Linked DNA regions of Kluyveromyces lactis. The protein of the gene in region 2 interacts with the protein of the main gene of each other region in a pairwise test. Links are inferred from orthologs where the notes say so. Each region holds a gene or a part of one and is shown on either strand. Other genes may lie near its edges. The genes, in order: KLLA0_A03905g, KLLA0_C17380g and PEA2.

What was found.
Region 1: the proteins of KLLA0_C17380g (region 2) and KLLA0_A03905g interact in a protein complementation assay, tested with the Saccharomyces cerevisiae proteins (2 studies listed by BioGRID). The link is inferred for Kluyveromyces lactis from reciprocal best matches to the Saccharomyces cerevisiae genes SPA2 and MYO2.
Region 3: the proteins of KLLA0_C17380g (region 2) and PEA2 interact in a protein complementation assay, tested with the Saccharomyces cerevisiae proteins (3 studies listed by BioGRID, with this or other methods). The link is inferred for Kluyveromyces lactis from reciprocal best matches to the Saccharomyces cerevisiae genes SPA2 and PEA2.

What each region holds. Positions count from the first base shown.
Region 1 is NC_006037.1:345,318-347,836, reverse strand, and holds the end of KLLA0_A03905g (myosin family protein), read left to right. Parts: coding exon 1-2,019; downstream 2,020-2,519. UniProt on the Saccharomyces cerevisiae protein: Myosin heavy chain that is required for the cell cycle-regulated transport of various organelles and proteins for their segregation.
Region 2 is NC_006039.1:1,523,753-1,527,518, forward strand, and holds the start of KLLA0_C17380g (uncharacterized protein), read left to right. Parts: upstream 1-963; coding exon 964-3,766. Other genes in the region: KLLA0_C17336g (MCT family MFS transporter), read left to right, coding at 1-171. UniProt on the Saccharomyces cerevisiae protein: Involved in pheromone-induced morphogenesis and efficient mating, perhaps as a cytoskeletal protein.
Region 3 is NC_006041.1:890,449-893,401, forward strand, and holds PEA2 (Pea2p), read left to right. Parts: upstream 1-1,436; coding exon 1,437-2,453; downstream 2,454-2,953. Other genes in the region: phosphoprotein phosphatase PP4 catalytic subunit PPH3, read right to left, coding at 1-635; SPT15 (TATA-binding protein), read right to left, coding at 2,823-2,953. UniProt on the Saccharomyces cerevisiae protein: Localized to sites of polarized growth and is required for efficient mating and bipolar budding.

The DNA.
Region 1 (2,519 bases), on a different chromosome or scaffold from region 2:
GGCGATGCCGCTGTTACGATTCAAAAGAGCGTAAGATCTTTCCAACCAAGAAAAAGTTTCCTACATGAGAAGAAGGGCACCGTGGTCATCCAATCTTTCATTAGAAAGCACTATGCTCAAAGAAAGTTAAAACAACTAAAATCGGAAGCCAAATCCGTTAATCACCTACAGGAAGTCAGTTATAAACTTGAAAACAAGGTCATTGAATTGACGGAATCTCTTGCTTCTAAGGTAAAGGAAAATAAGGAACTTGTTTCACGTTTGGAAAACTTGCAAAAATCTCTAAACGAATCTGAAAACATTAAAAGCTCTTTGGAGGAAGAAAAGGAAGGTCATACCAAGGCATTGGCCGACCAAAAGAGTATACACGAAGAAGAATACGGAAAGGTTAACGACCAATTGATTGCTGCAAAAGAAGAAATCATCTCTGCAAAGGCAGAAGTTGACGAACTTCTCAACAAGCAGAAGAACTTGAAAGATGAAATTGCATCCACTTTGGAAGAATTAACATCCGCGAGAGATGAGCTTCTAACATCTCAATCAGAAAACGCCGATCTAAAAAAAGAAGTTTTTTCTTTAAAGGAGGAAGTTGCACGTTTACAGTCCTCTATGCGCTCTGGTGTATATGTAGGAGGAGGCATCAACGCTACTCCGGTAAAAAACAGGCGCTTCTCGGCAAATAGTACTTTGAATGATGGCTCTTCTCCAAAACAATTGAATGTTGTTTCCATAAACAATAACTTCAATACTGAAGATGTTTCAGCGTTAATGTCTCAAATTAATGATGAGCTATACAAAATGTTCGAAGATTCGAGATCCCTCAATACTGAAATCATCGAGGGACTCTTGAAGGGTGGCAAAGTTCCTCCAACTGGTGTCTCTGTGAACTTGACAAGAAAAGAAGTTTTGTATCCATCAAGGGTTCTTATTATTATTCTAAGTGATATGTGGAGATTGGGTTTAACCTCGCAAAGTGAAACTTTCTTAGCTGAAGTTTTAGATGCCATACAAAAGATAATCTCTAATTTAAAGCCCGATGTTATGATTGAACATGGTGCTTTCTGGTATACTAACGTCAGAGAACTACATTCTTTTGTAGTATATGCATATGAGTCGATAACTACCGATGAAACGTACAATAGTGGCATGAATGAAGAAGAATACAATCGTTATGTCAACCTTGTTAAGGAACTAAAGGATGATTTCGAAGCTTTGAGCTTTAACGTCTACAATCTATGGATGAAGAAGCTACGTAAAAACCTTGAAAAAATTGCCGTTCCAGCAGTTGTTGTTTCACAGTCACTACCAGGGTTTGTTGTTCCTGAACCATCTCAGTTCCTCCAGAAATTCTTACAGAACAGCTCAACCTATAAAATGGATGATGTTTTAACATTTTTCAACAATATTTATTGGGCAATGAAGTCGTACGATATTGAAATGGAAGTCTTTGAAGACGTTATCACGAACCTATTAAAATTACTGGATGCTTTATGCTTTAATGATTTGATTCTAAGAAAGAATTTCTTATCGTGGAAACGTGGTTTGCAATTAAATTATAATGTCACAAGAATCGAAGAATGGTGTAAAAGCCACCACATTTCTGAAGTAAGTGTATGTCTTCAACATATTCTCCAAGCGGCAAAGTTACTACAGCTAAAAAAGCGTATTGTTGCCGATATTGATATCATCTGGGACATCTGTAACTGCCTAAAACCTATCCAATTGAAGCAGCTTATTACTCAATATTCTGTCGCAGACTATGAGGAGCCAATTGCTCCGGAAATCTTGCAATATGTGGCTGAGAAAGTGAAGAATGATACATCTAAAGCTGAAGTTGGGAACAATGATGTTTTCCTACCAGTTGATAATGGCCCATTCGAGGACCCATATCAAAAGGTTGAAGTAAGAGCTTTCGGTAAGATCGAAGCATACATTCCTGCATGGTTGAACCTCCCAATAACAAGAAGAATCGTCGAGTTGGTTACTCAATTTGTTGCTGTCCAAGAACAAGCAGAGTAAAGTCAGCTACCTTTTCAATTTCAATGATTCACATATAATATCCCCCGAGTATATAATACCCTTGTAATTTTTATGGATCCAAATAATGATAGTTGAATCACCAATCACCATTTACATATATTAATCAAGCTATACCGTCATAAAATTACCAGTAACGTCGATTATAATATTGTAAAAGCCTTTTCAAAGAATTATATATTTATATGTTTATACAAATTTGAGTATTAGGTACATTTTCTTTACCAGTATATAACCACATAGTGGTAGACGGGAATGAAATGCATTTCTATTCATGTCAGAAAAATGATGAAGCATGGCCAAATTAATGCTATAGTTCTGAGAAGAATAAGTTTATCTGCTAGATTTTTTAAGGTAAACATATATGATCAACAGAAATGCACATGCAAATGTCCCGGTCTAAATAGCATGTATCAAAAAGGAAAGAAAAAGCACAGAAGCTACTGTTAATGCCAGGCTTCCATGACTAATCCATATCGCAT
Region 2 (3,766 bases):
TTCGGAGCTGCATTTTTCCTATGGATGATTCGTGGGTATCTAATAGCTCGTGACAAGCTCGCCATGGTTGCAAAGACAGGTCACGACGATGGTGAATTGCATTTACACGTCACGATTCCGGAACTCTTGAAAGGTCTACTGACAATCGGACGACTACCAAGAAAAGTTTGATGTATATAATAGAAAAAGATATACTAAAACAAAACCTAATAATATGCATGTATATTCTAGTATAATTCAATGCTATACTATAATTGCTCACACTCATTGTTGCAATGCTTTCGTAAGTGCGATGCTTAGCATACATTTTGCCCAAATCACCAAGGTATTGGTATCCGAAGAGTTGTATTTCCAACAGAAATCGCTGCTTTAGCTCAGTTGGGAGAGCGTATGACTGAAGTTCATAAGGTCCTGTGTTCGATCCACAGAAGCAGCATTTCTTTTTTATTTTTTTTATCGATTCTCTTTTCTTCTCATCACGTGAAAGAAAACGCCAAACTTTCAATAAAATTACGCGTTATCACGAAGAACGAGGTGTAGTAAGAACGCTTTTTTTCTTTTGGCTGAAAAAACGATGAGTTCTTAGGTATGGAAATTGAAATATTGGAATTAGAATCTTGTTTCAATTCGAATTAAACAGTGGATTAACTCTTCTTCATGAAAGAAAGTCAATTGTATAGAATCAAGTATTCATCATTACGAAATAAGTGCGAGTTGTTGTGAATCAGCGGTAGCGGTTTGGTAAAGACGATACAAGTCTTAAAAGGAGAAGGCCGTCAATTATTTAAACTTGGGAAAGTATCGAATTGAGTTATTTACAGACACACTGGTTTCTTCGATTTCACTTCCCTTTTTTGACCATTATACTTGAAACGAGTGTCCTCAGTGACAATTGCAATTGACATTAATACGTGTTCTTAATTGACCATTGTTTGATAATTTGTTTTCATTTTACCGTTCCAAATGAAAGAGGGTGCTAAGGAACTGAAATATGCACAAAAAGTGCAGATCCATAATTATTATGTTGCTTTAAAACAATTCTTTGAGGTTACCGGTGGTAGCCATGATAGATCAATGACATCGCGTGCTCAGAAAGCACGTTCAAAGCTGTTAAAACTTTCTTCGTCACAGTTTTTCGAGTTGAGTACTGACGTCAGCGACGAATTGCAAAGACGAATTGATGAATCACAGCCACAACATGACTATTTAGTTCCTAATGAAAGTTTCCATGCAAAGAGGAACCAGGCAAGACAAAAATTGGCGAACTTATCCAATGCGAGATTTAATGATTTGGTCGATGATATTCTTTTCGAAATCAGAAGACGTGGGTTTGACACGTTACCTGAACCAGAAGAAGCAGATTATCAGGAATTCCCAAATGCTGATACTGATGAAGATTTTAATTCGAATGACAAGGCAGAGGTCTCCTCTCCTGCATTACACGTACTTGATTCTAAGCCATCGCCAATTGTACCTAGCAGTATAAATAATACGTCGGTGGAAAAATTACCAGAAGATGAGAATTCTGCACTTAATGCAACTTTGCAGACTTCTACAGTCATTCCAAAGACAGCATCAATCGACTGGAGTTCAGATGAAGAGGATCACAAACCAGAAGCTGATGAGAAGGAATTAGCTAGTGAAGACAATGACGTTATTAAGATAGATAGAGCGTTTTCACTAAATCAGTCCCCGGTCATTATTCCAGATGAAACACAAAGCCCACCTCAACCTACAGCTTCCTCACCTGTGGGAAATAGAAGTCCGATTTCCATAGATGACCATTTCACGTTCTCAGAGAGACCGTTATCACAATCCAGTGAGGCTAGAACTCCATTGGCTCAAACTGCTGCCACTACAGCAATGGCTGCAAGTGCTGGGTTGTCGCCTTTCACCAGTAATAAAAATAAAATGGGATCCTTGTCTCAATCGGTAGAACGTAACAAAGATCGTGATATAGAGCTATTAGTTCTGGAAGGGAATAAGTTGGACAGTACCATTACAACTTTGGAGAGAGAAAAATCAGAACTTTTGAATCAATTAGATGAATTGAAGACCAATAATCAACGATTAACAGAAGAAGTTCAGCAATTGAAACAGAATGCCGACCAATCAAGTACTACTAAAGCTCTAGATAGTAATTTCCAAAAGGGAATGTCCGAAATGACTACTCAACTAAATCAACTGTCAATAGAAAACGAAGAACTCAAACAAGAAAAACTAGAACTTCAGCTGCAATTGAAAAATATACAGTCTCCAGTTAAATCGATTGACGGTAAATCAGGGAAGGATGCTGCCTATTGGAAATCAAAGTATGAAGACGCTTTTGCTGAAAAACCTGTCAGAACAAGCTCTTCTTCTATGGCCCCCATTTCAAACAAGCAACTTTTCCCTGAAACTAGTATAATACCGTCAAATCTCATCGACGACTTGGATTCCAAGTTATCACAAATACTAAGCCTCATTGTGTCACCTGAACCTCCAGTTTTGTTTTTATTCGAGAACATTGCTTCCATTTCAGAATATTGTTCAAAAATTTTAACTTTAGTTCACTCCCCAGATACAAAGACCATGAGACTAGTGTTAGAGAACACAATATCACATGCTATCACATCTGTGCGTTACTTCAGCAGCTATAAAACTCCATTATCAAGAGTTATTCTTGAAAATTCTGTTTCAGAAATCTCATTTGCAATCTATGATTTGGTTAAGACGGTAAATGGCGGATCCAATAACGATGAAATATTCACATCAAATAAATCTGGTGATCAACTGGATAGTCCACTTGGCCTCTCCATGCAAAATAGACAAACCTCGAATAACTTTGCTAAAGGTTTACACGAGGGAAGTGTTTTAGACAAACCATCACTTCTTCCTTCTCGGGCTGATAGCGTTGAAATGTCTCCGGTCAAACCTTTGAAAATTACCCAGAAAAAAAATACCGACGACGCGTCATCAAGGCCTGTTTCAGTTAGAAAGCCCTCTGGAACTGGCTTATTTACAGCAATGCTTAATGGGGGTATGAAGAAAGATAACGCATCAAAGAAATCCAAGAATATATTGCAGTTAGAATTACCTCTGGATAACAATTCCAAATCGGAAAGCAATGCTCCTATAATCGAACGCAGAGAATTGAAGACCATTGATGCAATTAAGTCTGCTTCAGCCAGCAATTCACTTCTACCTACTTCGCCACTTGCCAAAAAATCATCAGCAGTTGTTCCTTCTGACTTTAAAGACCCAAATCCTTTTGAGTTATCATCTCCAGAAAAGGGAAAGCTATTGCAAAATATTAATTCTGACATATACAACAGCAATGATGAAGAAACTGAAAGCGAAAGTGTAGAGGAGGAGGACGATGGGAATTCTACATATGAAGTGTTAAGACAAACCATGAAGCAAAAGCATCTACAAGAAGAAAACGGAACCAACGAAGAAAAAAATTTGAAAGGAATTTTTTCGCCAGTGGTACATCCACAACCTATTGAAGTTTCAACAGAGGATGTCGACTTAAATGAGAAGTCATTCAATTTTGAATCTGAAGAAAATGCTAAATCTGAATCTGAATCTGTACCTTCGATAACTGTAAACAAAAAGAATATAAAACTCGTTCCTATCCCTGCCGTTACTCCAACTTTGAAACAAAAAGAGCCATCCCCATCACCTACTGCCGAATTGGTTATTTCTCCATTAAGGCCTATAGTAACTGCTTCTGATAATTCAAAAGTTAATGACGATCAGAAGGCCGTCGATGCCAACAAAAGCG
Region 3 (2,953 bases), on a different chromosome or scaffold from region 2:
AAACCTGCACCACGCGGGGAAAGAGACCAAGTATCCACATCCTCTGGATCCGACCACAATAAATCACACATAGCACCTTCATGCGGTACCTCCTTTTTCCTATCGATGGTTCGTATTTCGTTGATTGATAAAACGTCCGGCGATAATCCACCATGAACACAGAAAACCTTGTTGTTTACAATGGCACCCAAGGGCAAATAGTCGAATACTTCGCAACAGTATCTCCATACGTTACTGTTACCATATTTCCTTACCACTTCGTCGTAAAACCCATAAACCTTCGTAATCTGTCTTGTTTCATGATTTCCTCGTATCAACACAATTCTATCTGGATACCTTAATTTATAACATACCAAAAGAAGGAAACTCTCTAACGAATAGAACCCTCTATCCACGAAATCTCCCAAAAAGATGTATCTATTCTTTTCAATGCCTCCACTCTTAGCAAAGAGAGTCAACAAATCATGCAATTGGCCATGAATATCTCCACAAATTGTGACTGGCGTATCCACATGTGTCACGTTAGACTCATTCATAAGAAGTTCTTGAGCCATGACACACAGCGAGTATATCGAATCCTCGTCAACATGTTTCCCCTGCCTTAGAGTCTCTATAATCTCATCGAGTTTCATCATTGACAGATGCTCAGACGACGTTAAAGTTAAAACCAACTGGAAGTATAAAAGATAAAAAAAAGTGATTCCCTGTTCAAGAACTGACGATATTATTCTATAGTGATGAGTTTGGATCAAATCCAACAAAAACCTACCTTAAACTAATCTAACAAAGGTAAACTGAATAGTCATCATTAACAATATAGGCTTAAAAGCTTCTTTACTTTCTTATTTTCCAAAATTCGATGAGATAGACAAAATGCAAGTATCAAGAGAAATAAAAGTATCAAGTATCAAAAGAGGTAACAACAATTACATTTTTCGGTTAGCCTGAAAAGTCAACTTGTCGGTCTGCGCTTTCCGGTATGTCTACAGTATATAGCGTAGTGTGGAATGCTTGCCTGTGTTGTATATGGGAATTGTTCAGAATCTTGCTTCTTCTTCTTCTTCTCCTTCCATTGTTTCTTTTTTTTTGCCTGTACTCTTTTTTCACGTTTCTTTTTATCAGTTTGCTTCCTTTTTTGTGTTTCGGCCACAAAAACGATAATTTAACGTGACATGCGGGTAATGAGGTGTGCTTATGTAAGCCTTCGGAAGATGACACCCAGACATCGGAATGGCGGTATTCGTGCGTGGTGATGTCAAATATCACGTGGTTGATAATGTGCTTGTATTACCCGGAAACTGCATGTATGTCCCGTGCGTGGTAATTGAGAAAGGCATTGATCGGAATCAACGCGTCTGGATAGATGAACGGAATGTTAAAATGTAAGTTGCTACCAAACCAAGCTAGATACTGATCGCAGCTAGCCCCTTGATAGAATGCTTCGTAATAACCTGGACCAATGGTACGAGTACAATACCTCTTTTGTAGAGAAATTGCATGGGAAGTACCCCAATGAACAGTTGAATGAATATTTGCAAACTACGAGTACGAATTCCCTGATATCCAATAGACAAAATTCGGAGTGGGATGAGCTTCCAATGGATTTGGATTCCCAATTGAAATTGGAATTTGCATTGTACTTGATTAATGAATCTGCTAACGGTTCTCTAAGTACTAAGGGAACTACTTTCTTACAAAAGCTTGGCTCGGTAGACGTTGACACGTTGAAAGAATTAGTCCAATTGGTACTAGAGAATGATAAATCTTTAGCCAATAAAAGCACTGATGAGGATGAGGGGAAAGTGGAACAGATCACCTCCTACCTGATCTCTAGCTCCATTTCTAAAGGTATCAATTTGGCATCAATAGACAATTCTTCCAACGAGGAGGGTGTACATGATCCAATCTCATTTTGTAAGAAAAACATCGACATCCTGTTGGATGCATACCCACAGAATTCAAGCAGTTCTTTGCAACACGCGCCCCTTTCTACCTCAGAATTGGAACTTAACGATATCTCAAAACAACAGGACCTACAAACGGCTATCACGGATTTACAACTTGCATACAAGTTCTTGAAATCGAAATATGAAAATGATAGAGATGAATACCAGGCGACTATAGAAACTCTGAACAAGACTAACAAAGAGCTTTCTGAAGAGCTCTTACACTATCATAGTAAGTTGAAGGAGCGCGAGGAGAAATCGAAAGTCACTTCACAGATGCAATCAATTCCAATGGATATCGATAGATCCTTCTCACAAGCAATTTCCGAATCCAGTGACATCAAATCCTCAACATCTGCTTCTAACCATCAATCTTTCTCAATGATGAAGCAAGAATTTAAACGAATCTTAGCTGATACTCAGTTAAGATACGAAAAAGAACTAGAACAAGAACGCCTGTTGAGACAACAGTTGGAGAACAAGTTGGAAAATAAAGGATACCGCTAATCGTTTTATGTTGCCCTTAACGATCCAAAAATACTAGCATTAAACTTCAATATATTGTTGAAATGTAATTAACTTTGTAACATTATCTAAGACAGAATTCCTCATCCATTTCAAACTCAAGCTGGAAACCATTTACCGATGGCTATTAGTCGTTAAATTTGTGTATGAACTATATGATACATAGAGTAAGGTGCCAATAATAAAGACTTCTATTATAGCAGAATGGATATGAAAAGACAATAAGGAAGGAAAGATAGAAGGAACAAAGGGTTTTCTTGCAGAAGACGAGACAAAACCTCCGAGAATCGAATTAGTGCATTGTTTAATAAAATAAAAAAATGAATTTTTATAGTACCATCCAATAAAACATCATAGCTTCCTGAATTCACTCAACACAGGGTAGATAGCTTCAAACGCTTGATAGATTTCTTCTCTTTGTTTGGCACCAGTTAAGACAATCTTGCCGGAAACGAAAATTAGTAACACAATCTTAGGTTTCA